Lytechinus pictus: one gene and its partners. The protein of the gene in region 2 interacts with the protein of the main gene of each other region in a pairwise test. Links are inferred from orthologs where the notes say so. Each region holds a gene or a part of one and is shown on either strand. Other genes may lie near its edges. The genes, in order: cyclin-H-like, golgin subfamily A member 2-like and alpha-ketoglutarate-dependent dioxygenase alkB homolog 3-like.

Region 1 (7,947 bases), on a different chromosome or scaffold from region 2:
AATGCAGAACTGCCATAGGCTCCAGACTTGATAGACTAGAAAAAGAAAGGGAGGATGAAAGAAAGAATAAAAAGGGAATGAAAGAAAGAATGAAGGGGGAAAAAGGAATGAAAGAAAATAAATAATAAAAGACAGAAAGGGATGAGAGTAATGGATAAGAAAGAAAGAAAGAAAGAAGGAAGGAAGGAAGGGAAGAAGGAATAAAAGAAAGGAAGGAAAGAATGAAGGAAAAAAAGAAAAACAAAGGGAGACAGAAGGAAAGAAACAAAAATAAAGTAAATAAAAAAAATAAAAGGATAGGAAGGGGGATGAAGGAAGGAAAAAATGTTTCCTTCATTATTTGAAGGAAAGAAAATTAAAGAAGTCAGGAAAGGATGAAAGTAATGAAAAAGAAAGATGGAAGGAAAAAAAAAGGAATGCAATAAAAACAAAGGAAAGGCAGAGAAAATAAGGGAAAGAAAGAATGAAAGAAAAAAGAAGGGAAAGAAAGAGGAATGAAAAAAAGGAAGGCAGGATGACAGAAATAGTGAAAGAAAAGAAGGAAATAAAGGAAGGAAAGAATAGAGGAGGCAAGAATAAATGTAGGAAGGAAGGAAAGAAGAAAGGAATGAAAGAAAGAACAAAAGGAGAGAAAGAGAGAATGAACTTGAATGCAAGCATAGAAAAAAAGAAAAGCAAGAAAAAGATGGGGAAAAAAGGACATATAGAAATAAAGAAAATAAATGGAAACAGAGGGAGAAAGGAAGGAAAAAAAGTTAGGATATATGGAAAAAAAGATAGATGGAACAAAAAAGGCATGAAGTAATATAGAAGAAAGGATGAAGAAAGAAGGAAAAAAAAGAAAGAGAGGAAGCTCAAACTTGAAACAAACACCGGGACCCCCAAAAATCAATCGTCTAAAATTCTACTGATATTTGTTCTCCATTAAATATTCTGAAAATATATTTTCGAAATGGTTAGAATAGGGTTGCAAAGGGATGGAAACTTTCCGGAAATTTGGAACATTTCCATGGAAAGTTTCAGGAATTTTCAGCTGCCGGGAATTTCAGGAATTTTAATTTTTTCACAAAAAGTGATAAATTCTGTTTTTATTTAAATACAAAATTATAAATAGATATCCTCAAATACTATACTTTTCATTTGTATTTAAACTATTCTTCATTCTATAAATTGCCTAGGGTATAGAATATTCATCAAACTGTACATAAATACATAGTACGTGTATATGTATCCAGTAACATGATGGAGCATTATGTACAAAATGAAGATTTTCAATTCAACATGAAAAAAATAACACTTTGCATTACACCATTTTTCATTTTTGTCTCGCCTGCATAACAGAGCAAGACTATAGGCGCCGCTTTTCCGACGGCGGCGGTGTCGTCAACATTGAAATCTTAACCAAGGTTAAGTTTTTGAAATGTCATAACTTAAAAAGTTTATGGACCTAGTTCATGAAACTTGGACATAAGGTTATTCAAGTATTACTGAATATCCTGCCTGAGTTTAAGGTCACATGACCAAGGTCAAAGGTCATTTAGGGTCAATGAACTTGGACCAAGTTGGGGTATTTATTGAATTACCATCATAACTTCGAAAGTTTATGGATCTGGGGTGGTATTCTGAAAATGTTCTTATCTTTGTTCTTATCTTTTATCTTATCTCATTGAGATGTATGTATTTTTGTATTTTAAAGAGGTGTGAAATAAATGAATCTGAATCTGAAATCTGAGATAAGAAGACGCTAAAATCATTGCAAATCGGTATTCTGAAAATCTTCTTAACGCGTTCTTATCTCTGTAAGGACTGCCTCCTTCTTATCTTCAACACGCCCATTTTTTAGGATATTACCAATCAAAATGCGCTTTATATTGTCAGTTTAACCAATAGAAGCGTTCCTTATGTCAAGAGAATATCATGGGCACTGCGCGAACACTGTTTCTGGCGCATTGCGTGAAATAGGCATTTTATACGCAATGACTGATTATTATTTTGAGACATGTGCACAATAAGGAAAGAAAGAAAGAAAGAAAGAAAGAAAGAAAGAAAGGAAGGGAGGGAGGGAGGGAGGGAGGGAGGGAGGAAGGAAGGAAGGAAGGAAGGAAGGAAGGAAGGAAGGAAGGAAGGAAGGAAGGAAGGAAGGAAGGAAGGAAGGAAGGAAGGAAGGAAGGAAGAAAGAAAGTAAGTAAAGAAAAAAAGTAAATAAAGCAGGTACGAATAAAGAATAAAACAGGAAGAAAGAAAGTAAGTAGGTAAGAAAGGAGACAGAAAAGGGTCAGAATGAAGCAGAAATAAAAAAAATGAAAGGAACAAAGCAGAAAATAATGAAAGAGTACAAACGAAAGAAAGCAAGCAAAAAGAACTTAAATGAAGAAAAGGAAAGAAAGAAACTTAAAGGAAAAAACGAAAAAGGACCAAAAAAAGATTAAAAGGATAAAATGAAGGAATAAAGAACTGAAAAAACAGGAAAAACGAGTGAAAGAAAAAAAAGAAAGAGAAAAAGAAGGAATAAAAACATGTAAAAGGTGAAGGAAGAGAGAAAAAAGGAAAATGAAACAATGAAAGAGAAATTAAAGCAAAAATAAAGACTAAAGAAAGAAATCGAAAGAAAGGTTAATTCAAAGAAAGAAAGAAAAAGAACGAAAAGGGAAAATAAAAAAGGAAGAAAGATGAAGAATACATGAAACAAAGTAACATAAGAATAAGGAAGAGATTAAAAAATTCAAAAGAATAAAGCAAAAGATATAAATGAAGAATAAAAGAAAGGAAGATAGACAGATAGAAAGGAAGAAAAAGTGAAAATAGATAAAGAAAGACAAAAGGATAGAAAAAAAAGGTGAAAAACAAAATAAAGGGTGGATAAAAGAAAGGATGGAAAGAATACATGTTATTACCAGTGGCCATCTTTTTTTAGCAAGAAAGAACGCGAACATCGTGAGATGTGATAACCCTCTAGCTATCTTAAATATTATCATAAATATCGTAAAAGATAAGAACGTTTTCAGAATACCACTTATCTTTATTTTGTTCTTATCTTTTTAGTGCGCTTTTGTATTATGCGCGTGTAACAAATTTACGCGCTCAGCATAGGATGGAAAGCAAGATAAGAAAAAGATAAGAACAAAAGATAAGAACGTTTTCAGAATACCAATTTGAGAACGTGACGTAGATAAGAACAAAATTAAGATAAGAACGTTTTCAGAATACCGCCCCTGATTCATAAAACTTGGACATAATAGTAATCAAGTGCGTGAGGAGCCTGACTCTGAGCTCACCAATTTCAGTTTCATCTGCTTCTCCTTCCCTAACTAAAGTCAAAGAATTATCACTACCATTATATTTCATGTATGTAAATTCACTTCAATATATTTTTAATTCTTATGTGCAGCACTTAAATGACAAAATACGGTTAATTCTGCTATCTATGTCGCAAATTTAAACCTTCAATTTCTTATGAGATTGAATTATCATGTCTAACTGAACTACTAGTTTATCTCCCACATGTGGTATTTTCAAAGCATTGTCTCTCAAGAATTCATCAATGACAAAAAAGGAACAAAAGCTTTTGGGAATTTGAATAAACCACACAAATCATTGAACTAAACTCTTTATATACCAGTTGTTGTAACGATCTAAAAATGAGCTCAAACTTTATCAAGTATTACCACCCAAGTGTTTGTATGTATAACTAAAACATGTGGCAAATGGCTCTGGATAAAAATGTCTAATTGATGAGAAATGGGTAAAATAAGCACAAAATTCGATCAAATGTGAGTATTTTTCCAAGCAATATTACACTGTCCCAATATGCTTTTTATGCCCCCGCAGACGAAGTCTGGAGGGGGCATTAAGCGTTGCCCCTGTCCGTCCGTCCGTCCCCCCACTTGGTTTCCACGCAATAAATCGAAAAATATTTTTCCTGTGCAATAACTCAAAAAATATTCAAATGAATTTAACAATTTTTGTTGTGTAGGTAGATGACACCAAAATACAGGCTAAGTTCGAAATTGGAGTCCGCAGGTCAAAGGTCACAGCTTATTAAATATGGAATTGGTTTCCGCGCTATAACTCTAAAAATATTAAATGGATTTAAAAAAATTTTGGTGTGTAGGTAGATGACATCAAAATACAGGCTAAGTTTGAATTGGAGTCTGCAGGTCAAAGGTCACAGCTCATAAAATATGCAAATTGGTTTCTGCGCACAAACTCGAAAAAATATTTGATGGATTTTAAACATTTTTGGTGTGTAGGTAGATGACACCAAAATACAGGCTAAGTTCAAATTCGGAGTCCGCAGGTCAAAGGTCACAGCTCATTATATATGCGAGATGGTTTCAAAGGTCTAAATTTGTTCATATGCATATTGGTTTCTGCACGATATTAAGTTCAATCATATTGAATGAATTTCTGATCGCGTTAAGTGGGGGCATCTGTGTCCTTGGGACACGTCAAATTTCTAGTCTGTGTTAGTGATCATCAGAATTGTCGGTTTTGAGCTAAGATTTCATGATATCATAAAGATAAGTTTACTTTATTGTACAAGATCTACTGTAGATAAATGATAATATGGTGACAATTAAACTTGATTTTAAATACATTTTCATGAAATATTTTTTCCTGCAACTATTTTCTTTTACCTGTATGGTAAATGTCTACAAGTATCACAAGAAATGAAAAAAACATTGAATTCTAAATCACACAATTATTGAAGTTGGAAGTAGGATTAGCTTGTTGCACCAGACTTTCCCCTCCTAAATTGTGGATTTATATACATGTACATAATGTCTAGCTGAATCTAGTTTGACACAAATGAAAATCATTTTATCATTTTGGTAATTGGTTTTTCCACTCACTGAGTGCGATTGAAATGGGAGGGGAAAATAATTTCATTGGTTGCTATCTAGTTCTTTCTTCATCCCTCTCTCTCTTTCTTTATGTTTTGCGCTCTATCAGTCTTATCCAGGCAAGTCGTCTTTTTTATCAGGATTTATTTGAAGTTAGGGAGAAGATGTATCATAACAGCACTCAACTGAGAGCATGGACATTCTCATCCCAGGAAGAACTGAACGAGAAACGGTCGGCTTCCAACCAAAGGTACAGGGAGGAACATCAATCCAAATCTCAGGTGAGACTTGTCACAAATACATCACAAGGTGAAATGAATTTAACATACATGGAGTTGGGGTGAATTACATAGTACAGACCAACCTCTCTTATCCGGACACGTTGGGACTTGGGACCAGCACCAATCCAGATAAGGGATTTATCCGGATCTGGGAATCTTAATATTAAATACACTGAACTGCCTTCCTTATGGTAGCTACACATAATCTATTGTAGTGGGCGTACACAGGCAAGTATTCCCTGCAGTGTCATTGCAAATTATAGGTGTTTTTTACGGAAATGAAACTCATTGGTCACCAAAACTCATGGATGATTTACCTGCTGAAATTATTGAGGTATACATCGAGCATACCTTGAAAGAAAGAGAATGACTCGATGAAACTAAGTTTTAAAACTGGATCATCGTGGCGAGCATCACAGCTTTGCAAAGCCAGCCATTGTTATGACTGTAGGCTCAAACATGATAGATGGCACTGTCTGTATCGAGGCCTATAGCGCTAGCTAGTGAGAAGTGTTGTTTTTTCTGAAAAAAAGAGAATGTGATAAAATGGTTGCGCTGTGCCCTGTTTTACTGGAAATTTATCCTGTTTAAGTTCTTTCGGTGATTTGGGTAAGATATTTTCATTAAAAAATAATGTGGTTGTAGGTAGACTATATTGGAAAATGTATGTAATCAAAGTGAGTTTGCGTAGGAATTTTGAGTTTAGATTGAAAGCTCATTCCCCCTCGTACGAGATTGAAAAAAAAAAAAAAAATCTCAGCAAGTGTGCATCCGAATAATATTGAGATTCGGATAAGGGGAGGCTGGATAAGAGAGGTCAGACTGTAGTTCATTATTTAATATTGTTTTCTTGGGCGTTAATGACAGTCGGCGGATCCAGGTGGGGGGGGGGGCACATCCGGCCCTTGACTCCTTTTGAGAGTCATAGCCAATATTTTTTATTTAATATGTTCATACACAAGTGTGCCCCCCTTAAGAGGCACAGCAAATATTTTAATGGGAATATGTATGTCATTCATTCAAAAGTGAGGACCTTTTTTTTTGGGGGGGTGTCAAATTTTATGAGGGAAAAGTGATTTTATATTTTTGTGAAAGCCTGGCATTTATTTTGCCTGCTTGTCACATTTTCCAAGGAAAAATGTGCCCCCCCCCTTTGGAAAATCCTGGATCTGCCCCTTATGACAATCCTTGATGTTTTTTTCTTTTACTGCATCAAAGCTCGGGTAAACCTTTGGGGAATATTGCGAATTGTATCATATAACATTCTAATCTAAGAAAACTGCAGCGATTATTATTTTTATCCATTGGATGTTTCTTTGTGAAAATTGGAATTTAACATTTGAGAATGTGTAGTTCCCTCTGTAAATTTTAATATATTTCTTAATCAACAGGTCCTTTGGATGCTAACAAACAAACTCAAGAAACAATGATATAGATTTATACATTTTCAGACCATTCTGTGCCTGAAAAATGGATGGAGAAATAAGCAGTTTTAATTACCTTTACACACTCTTTGCAGGGTAAAGATCCAACCACTTTCTTCTTGAGTGAAGGAGAGGAGAGGACACTTTGTGAATCGTATGAGTTTCTTCTTCGAGACTTTTGTAAGAAGTTTCAACCCCCTGTGCCTCCTGCTGTGGTGGTAAGCAATATTAAGTGTTTTGAGAAACATTTCAATTAATATATATACTTCTGCTTTTAACCCTGTTCATATAGCTGCTTATCTGTAAAAAGCCAACGATGTGGTTTTGATGTATGAACAATCATTTAGTTTTAGCTTTTCAGGACTATTTCATATTCTTGTCATAGTTAATGCATGAATTTATAGTATAAATGACAGGAACTTGTTCGTTTGGGTAGAAAGGATATTTTGCGCATAGTAAACTTTGAACATGATAAGTTTGTGAATACTCTTCTTCTGTAAACAGTACAGGCCACCGTCTGGTGTATTGTTGTACTGGTGAAGTGCAGAGTGCAAGTGTATGTACATCATTCGATAAAAAATTGCTTACAGCGTGCAAGTAATAACAAGTACCGGTACTCTCTGCTGTGCCCTTCACCGCATGGATTCTGTGAAGTGTGTACTTCAACAGTGCCTTAATAAATGCTGGTAGTATAGTAAACAATTATATTAGTAGACGGCGAGGGACATTGGATTGGAATAGATTTAGATTGATCCAACAATTTCTTTTCCAAATGTTATTTTTTAAAACAACAAATAAAAACAACAAGTGCTAAATGATTGTAGAAAAATGATGCCCAGTAATAATAATTTGTAATTTATCTTTTCCCAGACGTCAAATTTATTATTATTATGTAAATATTTCTGAAATACATCTTATAATCTTTACTTGCCAAGATACTCGCTGAATATTCTTTTTATACGCCTTACACCTATTATATGTCTCTTTTCATGTGAATTTTTTATTGCAAATGTATTAAATTGTTATATTTGTAATTTCAATATATTTTATACTTGGTTGTATTGACTTGTATGATATATTTTATTTTGAGTTACCTATGTGATTTGATCTTGCCATTCCGCTGTATTTGTTATTTTATTTGTAAATGTGTATATTCTATTCATCTTGGCTATACTCTTGTCTATTTGAATTTGTGTGCATTTTCTGTAGTCAAAAGTTACTATAGATTTATGATAATATGATGAAGATTTATGATGTTGTGATGAAGACAATATGATGGAGATTGAATGGAAATACGATCTTATGAAATCACTGATCATTGTGACTACTTGAGTTTGGAAGAAAAAAAATGATTCAACATGTATGTTTTGCTGTTTGCTACTGACGAAGTCTGGAAGG
Region 2 (8,101 bases):
AATACGCTAAAACGCACCCCTCCCCCATTTACCGAAACCTGGATACGCCAATATGCTTCAATGTTTGATGTTTTCCTTGATATATACATTTTTTTAATATATGTGTATGTATCATAAAATATATTTATTTATGTATGACATACATTTTGTAATATTATATGAAATGAATATTACAACAGTTCAAATTATGAAACAGTTACTAAACTGCGTTCAATCTCTCAACAATGCATATTTCCTTTCTTATTAGCGGTGCGTACGTGTACTTACCAATTGAGTAAGATATTTGATATAAGTAATCACAATACAAATAGATGCGACGAAATCACAGAAGGACAGATGAAAGATGAAAATATTTTTGATTTTGCGTAAAGTTTTGAAGCTCAATATGGCACCCATTGAAAGGAGGTTCAAAATCACGCCCAAAACTGACATGAAAAGTGGAATTACCCACGCTAATGTATCCACGATGGCCATATAGGTATGGGCTTCTAAGCTTACTTTGTATCCAGATGAAGGTGTTCGAGAATTTTTTTATTTCATATAAACAGTTGAGAACGAAGAAGCTGGTCATAGATCACCAAGATTTTGCGTATATACTGAATCAATATGAAGACTAGATTAAGTTTATACATGTAGAGAAATTGAAAAAAAAATCAATGAAAAAAGGGGGAAAGGGTGGTCAGGCTCAACGCAGGTAAATCCCATACAAAAGAGGATAATAACGAAAGCAAATCATTGGCTGATGGGAAGCCATTCTTTTCATTTTGATCGCGCATAATTAGCACAGATGGTCACATGATCCCAAATGACCAATTACAGCATGTGCATGACTTTTTTTATGATCGACACGAAATATAATTCTGACCACTCCGCATCATCAACGTCATTACATCATAATCATCATCATCACCGCCGCCACGCCCTTGCCTGCATGTATTTTCGTTCGATGATCCATAAACCACGGTATAATTCGCAAGCTTTTGAAACGAATTCAAATCAAGCTTCAATGGATGATCCAAAGATTTTTTTTTATTTCATCTGCTCATTAATTAACTTTCCTTATATTTCAATTTATGTATTATTTATTCCAGCTAGGCAGATATCCATTAGCGATTGAATTATCTTTATGTTTTCAGGTATAGTACAACATATAAATTCGGCAAATAGAGAAGAAACCTCTTAAAATTAGGATGCAATTCTCCTCTAAACATTTTGCAAGATTTTTTTTTTTTTTTTTTTTTTTTTTGGGGGGGGGCTACCATTACGCCCCTGGATCTATAATGAGTCACGGATGTGAACTTAGTTTTTCCCTATATTATACGTATTTCTGGCCCTTATTCCCAGAGCTCATAAGTATTTGATTCATACTACAGCAGGTCTTGCGGGGGTCTTGGACCTGGTTTTGCTTTCCCGCCAAGTCTGCAAATTAGGTTGTAGGGCTTTATACTCAAGGGAGGTCGGGCATGGGGATGTGCACATTTTGAGAAGGTGGAACTGAGTACAGAATATTAGAACAGATACCACATCATAAAGGAACCTATTCCTGAACGATATTGTGGAGGTATAAGTATATAGATATTTCAAATAACCCACTAGCCTGGAAGAGGAATTGAGTACAGTTGTTTATAAAGTTTAAACAATAGTTGTTAGAGTGACGGGCTTAAACAACATGCTTGAAATTTTAAACAGCGTTTTTTTACAGTATATAGGCCTATACACGGTAAAAAAAATCATACAACGTTGTTTACTATATGAACCTTGCAGCAATTGTTTAAACAGTATAAACAAGTGTTTAAATCTTAAGCAACAAAGTTTAATTTTCAATATCTAATTTTCAATAAATTAAACATGATTGTTTAAACGGTTAAACAAATACTGTAAGGTTCATATAGTAAACAACGTTGTATAAAATCTTTAACAGCGTTTTTACTGTGTACACGACGACTATAAATACGCGCTAGCGATGAAAGTTACAAAGTATACCTCTCAATATAAACTTGTCAATGACATTAGATAGGCTAAGCTTGTTTAGTACAAAATGATATAGATATGGAAGAAACATGCGAATCAAATTATCATGATTATAGGGCCTAATAATCGGTCATGTTTTAATGGTCGATGTATAGGCCTAGGCCTAAATTATACACCCAGAACTGCATAAACGGATTATTCATGTTATTGTCACAATAGGCCTCATTTTACCAACAGCTACAAACTCCTTGACAATGTAATGCAACATGTATAAGAAATTATTATTAGTGTAATTCCAGGTTACTATAGGAGAAAGTCAAAGGTCATTTCAGATATGCAATTTAAATTTGATAATGATTCATGATTTGTTCCGATTAATTGAAAAAAAATGTTTTGTCATATTGTATGAGATGATTATCGGATAATACAATAAGTTTTTAATCAAAGATCATTTGATATTAATGAAATTAGGATTTAACTATATTTAGTAAACAGCAAGGGCGTAAATCCCAGGGGGATGGGGATACATCCCCCACTTTTCGGAGGGGGGGGGGGGTGGCATGTACAATCATCCCCCACTTTTCAAGATGGAAAAAATATTTTTTTTAATCATCAAATGGTTAATACTTCTGTTAACGTGTGGATTCATCTTTAAAGTGCTTAGATTGGCCTACTTAAAAAAATTGCAAAATTTCTCGCGCGGTCGCATGAATCATGGGAGTTTAGTTGTAATATTAAGTCCATTAATGAATATGTGATTCCAATTACCTTTGAATATGATTATAACTTATCATAACGATTCAAAATATATTTTAAATATACACTCTCGTGAATATGGGGCAGGGGCCGCGGAAGCGGGGGGGGGGGGGCTTCAGCCCCCCACTTTCTTCCAAAATCGTGTACAAAAACGTAAAAATTACAATTTTTATGATTGTGATTTTTTGCATGGTCAGCCCCCACTTTTAGCTCAGCCCCCCCCCCCACTTTGAAAACCGTTCCGCGGCCCCTGTGGGGGGGGGGGGGTGGGTCATCTGGTATCTTTGTGGAAGCGGGGGTGTTGTATTTGGCCTACCGTATTCTTCAAGTTAAGTGTACGATGAGTCACCGTACATCAATGCCGTTAACGAAACACTAATCTTTGCTCAAAATATCGAATGTTGCATCATCTCCATATAATCTTAAAGATTATTCAAAATCTTTCCTTTTTTCATATACAATGTCATTGTGATATTACCACTTTTTTAAGATTATATTGTGGCTTGTGATGGCCTATGATCATTTTATATGGCACCCTCATTCCCGATAATAATAATATAATAATAATAATATAGGGTATTTATATTGCGCATGCACATATCCACCTTGTTAGGTGCTCAAGGCGCTCCTATATTACCCGGCTAAGCTATCCGGCTAATCATGATCATATTTTTGTTTTCATTCTCATCTCACTTTAACCAGTGAGCAAATGAGTTTTCATAGAACAAAACTCGACTATTTAGTCCCTATTTGCTCTTTTTATATTTCTTGTTCACATTCTTCTAAAGTTTACGTTATTGATGATACTCTTATCATCATCATTTTAATCGACTGTAGCAACTTTTTAAGGCTCGCAAAGTACGCTCACCGCCGCAATTTCTCTCATAATTACACTCATTGAAAGACGATTTGGTTATCATTCTGTCTTCCAACTATGGAAAATCTGCTCGCTCGCTTCTCTCGCTCGTATTTGGATACTAACTGTAATCCAGTAGTTTCGTCACAACGAATACATTATAGCCATCGAAAAAAAAGACATCGTGATAATAGTCCTTCAAGTGAAAAAATTGTATTATCCATTAATTATCCAGTTATATACTATATACCCCTGTACCGTGAACCCAGTTGGGGCATCATTCTTTCTTCCACCTATTGAAAATTTGCTCAGTCGCTATGCTCACTTGCCGCATTATCCAATAATCACTCCTCATGAAAGACGATTTTGCCGTCATCATGTCTTTCAACTACTGAAAATTTGCCCGCTCGCTCGCATTTGCTGAACTGGACATGTAGTTCGATCAGTAGTAACACAATTCATTACAATTATATAGCCATTGAAAAAAAAATCCGGAAAGGCCTTTAATTGAAAGATTAAAGGAATATGTACACAGTTACTTAGCCCTATATAGGTGTGGGGGTGTCCCCCAAATTTTTAATTTTCTGGTCAATAAGATATTGCTTTCATGCCCCCCCCCCCCCCCATGCTCGGACCGGATTTATACGCCAGTACGTGGTAAACATTTTTTTTAAAGAAACAAATATATATTCACTGTAATGATTGCTGCCATATTGAATCGCATAAGGTGAGACTGGGTGCGATCTTGTTAACCACTGAGGGGGCGGGCGCAATTTTTAAAGGGTGTGCTGGCCAGGCGTGCTGGTTTGCAAAAAAAGAAGAACTTTAAGAAGAAGAACGTAAAAGAGAGAAAAGGAGTTTCACTCCAAAATGCAGGTCGGATTTTGTGAAATTTCTATTTTTAGCATACCAACATGATTTTCAGGGGGTGATGCATACGACAGCACCCCCAGATTTTTTTTTGGGGGGGGGTGCTCTTTTTAGTCTAGATCACAAGTCGCAGCACCCCCGCTTCCCAGGGCCATGCCCTCCTCCGTGCGTCATGCAGAAATTTATCACTTTTCCTTATCTTTTCCAATTCTCTCTTTAGCCTTTTATTTTTATTTTTCTACAAATCAATGAAGAGAATGAACACACATTATTAGGTGTCATGATAATGCGAAGTATACAAATTACTCAGTTGAACTCGAAAAATTGGTTAAATCCATCCCGAAATCCATGATTCGCAGTCATGTTTGGATCATCACAATTCAGATCAGTGCAGATTTTTTTTTTTTTTTTTTTTTGATGCGTTGGATCTTGCATACGTGTCTGCGAAAGGCCGCCTAAAGTGATGAAAAAATAGTTATTGTGTGCGAATGAATCGGTCATGCTACGCACATCTTTACTGTCCAATGACCTTTTTTCATTAATTTACACACTCAACCCTTCAGCACTGCAGATATGGCGGATATTTCTCGAGAAGAAAAGCTCGCAGCTGCGAGGAAAAAGGTAGTTTATATGCTTTTTCTACAATATATCATATCTTTTATGTATTATTCAATGTGTATATATATTGGCAGAAAACTTGTAGACTATTGTTTGCATCTTAATTTTTAAATTTTACGTGTATTTTCTGCTTTAATTTGTGGATGTTTTATTGATTTGTAGAAAGTGGTGAGTGGTCCCACTCATTCGTGTCAGTGTGTTGTTTTCATTTGGACAGCATATTGTAACTGACACAGTGAGCCAGACTGGTTTGGGTGATTCGCCGTTTTTTCGCCGTTTTTTCTCCCTTTTTTCTCCCTTTTTCCCAACAGAAAAACGGCTAGAAAACGGCTAAAAAACGGCGACAAAAAAAGTGTACCGACTATGGAAAGCTAACTGTATGCAACAATGATTTTTATCAGAATAAAATAGTGAATACCTCCCTTCGAGAAAACGGCTACAAAACGGCTAATAAAGGGCGAATACCTCCATTGCGGGAAACGGCTACAAAACGGCTAATAAATGGCGAATACCTTCCTTGTGGAAAACGGCTAATAAAGGGCGAATATCTCCCTTGTGGAAAACGGCTACAAAATGACTAATATAAGGGTGAATACCCCCATCGGTAAAAAAGCCTTCAAAACTGCTAATAAATGACGAAAGGCACAAAAAAGTAATAAAACTAGTAATAAATAGGACTTAACAAGTAAAAATCAGCAAATAATGTTGTACCACACAAGCTGGTGAGTGCATGTACTTGAGACAACTTGGAATAACATTCATACTACCGTAATGAATGGTAGTGGATAATACCGAACAATCTTCAGTTTTTTCAATCATATCAAACCTTTTCTTAAAATTCATCAAAATTCCACCATAAAGTAATCACAAATACCTACTAAAAATAAGAATTTTAAAATGGCTGAAATCGATCGGCCTATATCTGAAAAAAAAATTCTCAGCTTCCGATTTCGCCCCTCTTCGCGTGTGAAATCTTTTGTCACTTGTGGTTCGTATACCAAACACATGTTTTCTGCTGTCATAAGAGAATTAACAAAAATCTATAATTAATTCATTTTCACCGTATTTTGTTATGTTTAGAAAATTGATACTTCATAAATATGATTTATTTTCATCATTTTTTCTTTTGGAAAGATGCTGCAATGTGCTAAATGTATTAAATTATACTGTACTGTATTATTTTCTTTATCTTGCCACTTGTTACGATCGTTTGCGTTTGCGAAGTGGGAATGGCCGCACCCTTTCGAGAAAACCAGGATAGCTTTTCTTGAAAGGGTGGGATGAGGGAAGGGAGTCAAATAAACACACCTTCTCGGGACAACCAGGGGAGCTTTTCACGAAAGGCTGTGTTTAATAGTTTTCTGAGCCAGTTGTTTCTATGAAAATTATTCATCAAATAATAACAACAACAATATAGGCGATTGGTAGAAATGCACATATGGGGGGGGGGGGGCCTGTTACACCCATAAATGTGAAAATCGCTCACAAATGTAATAACACTTTACCCACAAATGTAACAACGCCCAAAAATGTAATAACACTTTACCCACAAATGTAATAATTTAACCCACAAATGTATTAATGCACTTTACCCACAAATGTTATAATTTTTGATCGCCCACAAATGTAATAATGACTTTACCCAAAAATGTAATAAATTTGAAGGGATTTGATCCGTTCTAAACTAAAATCTATAGTAATACGTTGATAAAGCACAAAAGTGCACAAAAGTCTTTTTCCAGACCCGGTTGTTTCAAAAAGTATAATAGTCCAAAGTCTTTTTTCCAGACCCAGTTGTTTCAGAAATTATAATATAAGTCTAGTCTTATTTCCAGAACCGGGTCTGGAAAAAATTATTTGTCCTTTTTATATCATAATTCTTAAAAAGAAAATTTCCTCCTTCTTTATACATTTACACACATAATATGTTTATCAAGAAAAAAAATAATTATGTTATCGTCATCATCATCACGGCCGCCATCAAAATCATTACCACCACCATCATTCTCGTCCTCTTCTTCCTCTTTATCCCCCTTCATTATCACCACTATCATTATTTAATTACATCACAAATACACTATCATCCTCGATTATCATTCCGTTTTAACAAACGCTGACTATTGTAGTAGGTCCGTGATTGGACAATGTGGTTTGGGGGATTCATCCGGGTTGAAGAAACACAACGAGAGATCACAAGTGATCATTGCGTAACTTAAATTGAAACAGATTCTTCTTATTGTTAGGTGTTCACTGCAATCTTCACACCTTCCATTGTTCACAAAACGTGCGAGACGGTGTAATTAATTGACCCCATTGAAGTCGCAACAGCTAGGGCATTCACTCCAAAGCTTCTGTTATACATTTTAAAAGTTATCTTTCCTATAAAACGAAGTAGCTCAAGTGCATTGGGGTCTTTAACACTATAAAACACAGTTTTGATCAATATACCAACGAGATCGAACCAGCTCATGACATCATGGAGGCTGATGTATGCCTCCCCAAGAATTAGAGGCCGTTCTCATTACGCTTTCTAAACTAGTTTACTGGAAACCGATTCAGGAAACCACTTTGGAAGATCGCTTTGCTAGCGTTCCCACTTGATCACACGAAAGTGGTTTTCAATATCACTTCACTTTTAAAAAGCGCTCTTGTTGCTATGGTAACGCTCTCAGTGGGGTGACACGTTTCGCGCGAAATTCGAAACCGCAGCATAGGCATTCTACACCTGTCGTGTGGAGTAGCGTGCTCAAAATGTGCGAAGATCGCTTCCCGAAGAACGGTTGTGTCCTCACTTACGCTAAAACCAGTTAAACGAGGCAAAGCGATCTTAAAAACTACATCGCGAGGTGGTTTTCCAAACTGGTTTGGAAGATCGCTTCCAAGACCGCTTTGACCGTTCTCACTACGCGTTAAACTAGTTTCCACTAAACTAGTTTCCAGTAAACTAGTTTTAGGAACGTAGTGAGAACAGCCTCTTAAAGTATATCGAAGTGGTTTGTTGGATACTACTTAGGCCTACATGACCAATGG
Region 3 (7,148 bases), on a different chromosome or scaffold from region 2:
TACCTAGCCTCCCCTCCAGGTTCCACACTGATCACATAAGACCCATCTTTCCTGCAAAATAAAAAAACAAAAGTATTTTACAGCAAAAAATTGGAAGGCTTTTTCTTGAATAACTTCTCTTCTCTGTCAGCAAGTGTGCTTAACTATGAATAGGCAAACACTATCTAGATGCTACATAGGCCTGTTCAAATCAGCAAGTAAACTTTTTTTTCACCGAAATTTCATGATCTTTTCCTTTCACATATCTGTATTGCACATATACACTTTTTTTTACCTTTATTCATAATAATGAATAGTTGCCAAGTTATTTAGGTTAAAAAACAATGGTTATCTGTTTTGTTTTAATGGGCTACTTGTATATTAAACATTTTGGAAAAAAAGAGAAGAACAAAGTTTGAGATTGCCAAAATATTTCCTAATTTCTCAACATACTCATACAATATAAAAGAAAAAACCCTCAAGTAGATGTTTTGATCTCATATCATCCACACAATAACAGCTTTAGGACACAAAAACTCATCTAATGTACGAGTAGTAATGACCTGGAAGGTGTTTCACAAAAATTTCATTATGAATTAGAGTAGCACTTAAATTTAGTTGCTTGTAGTACACAGCGCATCACCGCATTGGCCAGATCGTGCTCAGGAGACACGCACAAACGCGTATTCATCATGTGTGCGTTGGCGTTTAGGCATGACTCTAAGTCACACTTAAATCTTTGTGAAACACCCCCTGGGGGCCGTTTCATAAAGCTGTTCGTAAGTTAAGAGCGACTGTAAGAAAGACTGGTGAACATTCCTAAATCATCCCCAATGAATATACCATTGACCACAAGAAAGGATCACAAGTCGTTCTTAAAGTCGCTCTTAACTCAAAAACGGATTTATGAAACACCCACCAGGACTAGTTTCCGATACTTTTTGAAGGATTTACCAAAACTTAAGGGTGGTTTAAACACTTACACAATCTCCTTTGGTTCAGGAATTCTTCTTATCGGACCTGTCTCTGTAAATGTCAGTGTCTGCGGCAGACAATCTGATTGGCCCTTTGTTGTAGGAGATGTTGTAGTCTCTGGGGTCTTACTTGTCATGGACACTGCATTGGGGTTGGGACCTGGTCTAGATGGAGGCTTTGATCCAGGGCCTGGACCAGTAGGCCTACCTCTGGCCTGTAAACACACACATAAAACAAAACAAAAAAAACATCATTAATTATCATCATCACCATCAATTATCATCATCGTCACCATCATCATAATCATAATCACCACCATCATCATCATCACCATCATAACCATCATCATCACCACTACCACTACCACCACCACCACCATCATTATCATCATCATCATCATCATCATTGATCATCAGTATATCACCACCACCACCACCATCATCATAATCATCATCTCCACCACCACCACCATCATCATCACCATCATAACCATCATCATCACCACTACCACCACCACCATCATCTCCACGACCACCACCATCATTATCATCATCATCATCATTGATCATCATCACCACCACCATCATCATAATCCTCATCTCCACCACCACCACCAACACCACCACCACCACCATTATCATCATCATCATCATCATCATCACCAATCCAATCATTAACATTATTTTATCACCTTTCCTTTGGATGGTGGGGCAGCCCATGATCCTTGTATTCTTGCTCTCTGTCTCTTGTTATCGGCCATTTTATCAAGCTGTATGCAGGGCTACCTGATTACAACAAAATGTTATTGATTTGACTGGATGTTGAAATGTAATTAATTAACTCTGCTTGTACTAGTATAAAAATACTTGAACTTAGCCTTAGGAATAGTTACAGACCCAGTCAGCAATCTTTGAGCATAGTTTACACTCGATTTTACACTCGAGCAAGAACAAAAAAAATGGTCCAGTGAATATATTGTTCTATTGTTCTGGCTTGGTCACTCTATTGTTCTGGACCCGAGTGTAAACTATGCTCAAAGATTGCTGACTGCCACTGTATTCATTTTAACAATATATACAGCACAATGAAAAATTATCATAAATAATATAATTGCTGAGATACGTTTCATTTCAAGGCAAGGAGTTTAATATCGAGACAAAACCAAAGTGATTTCACTTTCTAGTGTACGTGGAAATGGAGGGGGATGATGAGACATGATATGCCTGTAGTACTGTTTACCCAGTTGTTGTGTCTGGACGTGGACGATCAATTTTTGAGTCATTTGGAAAAATTTACAAGCGAAGTTTCATCAGTTTTTAGACTTTTTTAGTACAAAATCAAAATGTTAGGAAATATTAATTATACTATTTATAGAGAACAAAAAAGAAGATGATTGCAACTATTGAATTCATATTTTAGTTTAATCCAAAGTCCGACAAAGTCAATGAAAAAAGAAGAAAAAAAGAAGGCTTCAAAAATATAAAGAAAGTGTCCAGACACCCGACCCCCCCCCCCCCCCCCCCCCCCCCCGACCAAGCCAGGCCAATCTATGTAATGTAGTTTTCATTCTCAATAAACTATTAATAAATATAGATCTAGGACAACTTCCCATTTAAATCAATGTTATAATATGAAAGGGATCCTATCAGTATCACTCACACGACTAAAACAGCGAGGATTGTATCAAAGGTGACTCAGTGATGCCATCCTGATTACCGGCGCGTGCAATCCATTACACATGCAAAGGAATACGCTTAATCACGATTCCATGATACTTGTGCACGAATTGTACGTATTGGTAATATCCAAATGCAGCACATCTACAGGGAGGAACTTAGGTAATCGTTTTCGAGCTATTTAAACTCCAAGTTAGTTGACGTTATTCAACTATCACTATCACGAATATACTGTATGAATTCATGGGCTTACCTTTCAGTATAATACAACACTTAACTAAAGATGGTAACCTTGGGATTAAGTAAATAGCATAAAAAAATGCAAAGATTAAGAAGCAAAATAAATTCGTTCAGCTGAAGTAATGTTTACGAAACATATCTAGCCTTACTTCAAGATGAAAATGCAGTTTGTTTACAAAGGAATTAAAAAAAATCTAAATGGATAAACAGGCAACCTAAAAATGTACCGGTACCTCTACAATTTTTCCTGTCAGTTTAAGTTAAATCTTTTCAGTATCAAACTTAAATTTCTTTATTTTGTGTTTGTGTATGAATGCATGGCCATTATACTACTTTATTACTAGAATAATATGTCATTTTATTCTATTAAACTTTGAATGAAACATTAATTTTACTTTCTAAAATGAATATCGTCTCTCGTGTTGAATCTTTTTTTAATTCGATTTTAAATGACAAATATATTTGTCATTTAAATATATTACTCCATTATAATGAAGTAATCATAATTTGCAAGGTTTTTTGCGATAGGGCCTACATGGCTACTAAATGAATGATGAATGAATGAGCGAATAAATAGACGGATGAATGAATGAATGGATTAATGAATGAATGAATGAACGAGTGAATGATAAATGGATGAATGAAAAAATGAGTAAATGAATGGATGAACGAACTAATAAATGGATGGAATCAATGAATGAATGAATAAATAAATTGATAAATGAATGAATGAACGAATAAATTGATGGATGAATGAATTAATGAACGAATAAATGGATGAATGAATGGATGGATGAGGGAATGAATGAATTTATTCAAAACCAAACATATAACATAATACATGATCACTGTATATTTACACAAGTTTATAATACAATGAATAGATTTTAGGACCCCGAGGCGCTTGTGAGAAGGGCCCGTGTTCAAATTAAGATTTTGGGCTCAATCATACCAGAAGAAACAAGCACCAAATCTGGAAATCGGTGGCACCATGGGCAAATGCTAATGCCAACTGACAAATACAATACTAGTAATAACGATCATTATTATTGTGGCAAATTGGGCGATCATAATGTATCAGTCAGGAATACCATGGACATGAAGCCCAAATACCATACAAGTTCATCAGGCATATTATGTGAGACAAATAGTTATTATAAAAAAAATCCTCGAAATTTGATTGTCCCCAATCAAGTTTTCTGTTATTTTTTTTTCATACTATACGGAGCAAATTCACTATCAGCCACTAGCGTACCTACGGGGGGGGGGGGGGGGGGGCAGGGGGGGGCACTCTGCCCCCCCCCCCCCTGACGAGCCACAACCCATGCAAAAACGTATCTTTGCCCCCCCTGACGGGCTTGAAAAACCTTTTTTGCCCCCCTGACGAGCTTTAAGACCTTCAATGCCCCCCTGACGAGCTTGAAGACCTTTTTTTTTTTTTTTTTTTTTTTTTTGCTTGTCAATTTTTTTCTGGTACGAAATCCTTTATTTGTGATCGAAGACCTTTTTTTTTTTTTTTTTTTTTTTTGCTTGTCAAATTTTTTTGCGGACGGTTTTGCCCCCCCTGTGGAAAATCCTAGGTACGCCACTGCTATCAGCCCTTTCACATGGTAAAAGAAATCGTAATTTGAATGATGATTCCAGTGAAAAAAAAGGCGAATGACGAATTTTTAGCACGTGTGAAACCAAACTAGAACATGATAAGAATCACGCACGCCTGCAATCATCATTACAATGATGGTTCAAGATTCACGTGTGAAAAGGCCCTATGACTTTATTGAAACAAATAAGGGGGAAGGTAGAGAAAGGAGGGGGAACTTCCATAAAAGAATGCACACACGAGAAAAAAACGAGTAACATAAGGGAATGATAATTAATAAGAGAAACGACACCAAAAAGAAAATTAATGAAAGGAGAGCTGAAAACAGTGAAAGAAAAAAAAAGCGAGGACCAACTTTGTTCGAAAAAAAAAAATTCCCTTTCTTTAATTGCAGGAACCAAAAGAGGGGGCGGGACGGAAATATAGGAAGGGAAAGTAGATTCTGGGAGAAATAATTTTAAAAAAAAGTAATACAAAATGGAATAAAAAAAATAAAAATAAGAAGAAAGGTTAATGAGCCTCCAGGGTACATAGGGTCTTTGTACTTCATGCATGATACCTCACAATGACCATGTTAATATGTATACCATATGTTATCGTATTGTTTATAATATAGTATAGGCGTACCGCTCGGGGTGAGAACACGGTTACGCCAACAGCGCGATTCAGTAGTTTACGCTTATCACTTAAAAAGTTTTGGAAATGAATACTGTGTTTGAACTCTCATAAATTCTATAATTCTTTCATTTTTTCTTGTGCGCCTCTGCAACTTTCAATCATTTCAGGAGTCGCTATAGGCCTACATCAGTGGCAGATCCAGGGGAATCCAGCCCGTGCCCCCCCCCCCCTTCTGAGGGGCACCAAAAATAATTTTTATTGTAATAAAATTATGTCATGCATTAGCAAGTGAGGACCCTTTCTTTTACTATTTTTTTTTGCTTGTCAATTTAATGAGCTCGATTTGGCAGCGAAGACCTTACTTTTGGTTGTCATAATTTTCTTGAAGAATACAATGCACCCCCCGAAAAATCCTGTATCCGCCCCTGCGCTATATACATGAATGCGGCATGATATTAAAAATACCATTAGGGCGATGACACAATAAATGGACTGCAAAATGTTAATTCCTTTCATTCCACAACTCAGTCAAGATTAATTTCTGTATTTTAGTTATCTTCTAGTTTCCAAGATGATTATTACAAGAATGAAAGTAATGTTTTTTTATTTTTTATTCTAATGTTTGCTGTTTTAGAGATATTGGTCTAACACTAGTCTACAATTGTAGACCCACATCTGCAGTGTGTGTATCACAGCTGATTCAAGGAGTCTGCATAGCAGACTAGGTCTCTGAAATGGCTCGCTTCGCTCGCCCTTTCAGGCTGGTTTGCTTCGCAAACCAGCTGCAGATCCCACTTCACGAGCCATTCAGAGTCTGCATAGCAGACTAGTCTAACACTGTGATGAAAAGATTATGGGAAGCCAAAAATGTCAAAATTTTGTTCACATTTTAATATGTTTCTTATGCTCAGTTTTCTTCTTCGTCATGCTACAATGACGAATAAACCCATGTTATTATTCCCAGAAAGTTCAGAATTACCTAAGTAACATATGAGATGATGAATCGAACATGTACTGTTGTGTCACAAAACACAACTTTAGAAAATATTTTAAATATTTAAACCCGAGCTCAGAACGGGACATTGAGTGCACAAACTTTTTGACATTTTACATTTTAATAAACATGATTAATCTGTTCTGTTGTTTATTATTTGCCATCTGGTGGTAGCTGTGTCATTGAAGATCTTTTCTCCCGTGAGTTTCATTCCAGCAGTTCGCGCAGCATGACTGCGTAGCATGAATTTAATTATTTTATGATGTACAATAATAAAGACATTAATGTTGGAAATGAAGGTCAACGTATTTTTTTCTTGCACTTTATATAGCACCCTGTTTGAGATAAAGATTCTCAAGTGGTTCTAAAAGTATAAATAGGTGAACATGACGAAGGCCGAAACCAAAGATTACATCGATCATTGCAGATTTGTGCATCTCTTTACTTGGTGAGTATAAATGCTGCTCCGAAGTATTTTGAATATTAAACAAGCATAGATAATAACTAGATTACTAATACTTGCTTCTAATCGTGATCATTATACTAAAATTTATATCTGGATTTAGGATTTTATTGTTGTTTTAATGCAAATCTAAGCATACTAAGTATATTTATTGAGAAATTTTGGGAGCTTGCGATTGCTTGACCGGTAAGTGATCGAGGACCGTCAGCTGCCCCTTTCCGACTGCCTACCCTGGCAACTTGTATTTTGTATTATGTTTACCAGGGGCCGCGGAAACGGGGGGGGGGGGGGGGGGCTTCAGTCCCCCACTTTTTTCCGAAACATTGTACAAAAACATAAAAAATTACCATATATTTTTTGAATGGTCAGCCCTCCCCCACTTTGAAAACCGTTCCGCGGCCCCTGTTTACCGACTTTAATAAATGACTTCTATTCATGGGCTTGATGGGGGGGGGGGGGGGTGGAAACAACTGAGGGACGTTTCCAAGGGACAGTGGGGGGGGGGGGTGACCGAAGTGCCCCTGCTAACAACCATTTCATGACTCACAGTAATTTTCCAAGGACCCAATCTTATTAGCTCAGAGTGGTGGTCTAGATGTAGTA

The links.
Region 1: the proteins of golgin subfamily A member 2-like (region 2) and cyclin-H-like interact in binary tests that used the Homo sapiens proteins (3 or more experiments, as listed by UniProt). The link is inferred for Lytechinus pictus from reciprocal best matches to the Homo sapiens genes GOLGA2 and CCNH.
Region 3: the proteins of golgin subfamily A member 2-like (region 2) and alpha-ketoglutarate-dependent dioxygenase alkB homolog 3-like interact in binary tests that used the Homo sapiens proteins (3 or more experiments, as listed by UniProt). The link is inferred for Lytechinus pictus from reciprocal best matches to the Homo sapiens genes GOLGA2 and ALKBH3.

Annotation. Positions count from the first base shown.
Region 1 is NC_087247.1:17,504,388-17,512,334, forward strand, and holds the start of cyclin-H-like, read left to right. Parts: upstream 1-4,922; 5' UTR 4,923-5,008; coding exon 5,009-5,125; intron 5,126-6,644; coding exon 6,645-6,767; intron 6,768-7,947. UniProt on the Homo sapiens protein: Regulates CDK7, the catalytic subunit of the CDK-activating kinase (CAK) enzymatic complex. CAK activates the cyclin-associated kinases CDK1, CDK2, CDK4 and CDK6 by threonine phosphorylation.
Region 2 is NC_087259.1:22,002,174-22,010,274, forward strand, and holds the start of golgin subfamily A member 2-like, read left to right. Parts: upstream 1-5,006; 5' UTR 5,007-5,026; coding exon 5,027-5,074; intron 5,075-8,101. UniProt on the Homo sapiens protein: Peripheral membrane component of the cis-Golgi stack that acts as a membrane skeleton that maintains the structure of the Golgi apparatus, and as a vesicle thether that facilitates vesicle fusion to the Golgi membrane.
Region 3 is NC_087263.1:2,942,037-2,949,184, reverse strand, and holds the start of alpha-ketoglutarate-dependent dioxygenase alkB homolog 3-like, read right to left. Parts: upstream 3,028-7,148; 5' UTR 2,884-3,027; intron 1,740-2,883; 5' UTR 1,715-1,739; coding exon 1,646-1,714; intron 1,169-1,645; coding exon 963-1,168; intron 52-962; coding exon 4-51; intron 1-3. UniProt on the Homo sapiens protein: Dioxygenase that mediates demethylation of DNA and RNA containing 1-methyladenosine (m1A). Repairs alkylated DNA containing 1-methyladenosine (m1A) and 3-methylcytosine (m3C) by oxidative demethylation. Has a strong preference for single-stranded DNA.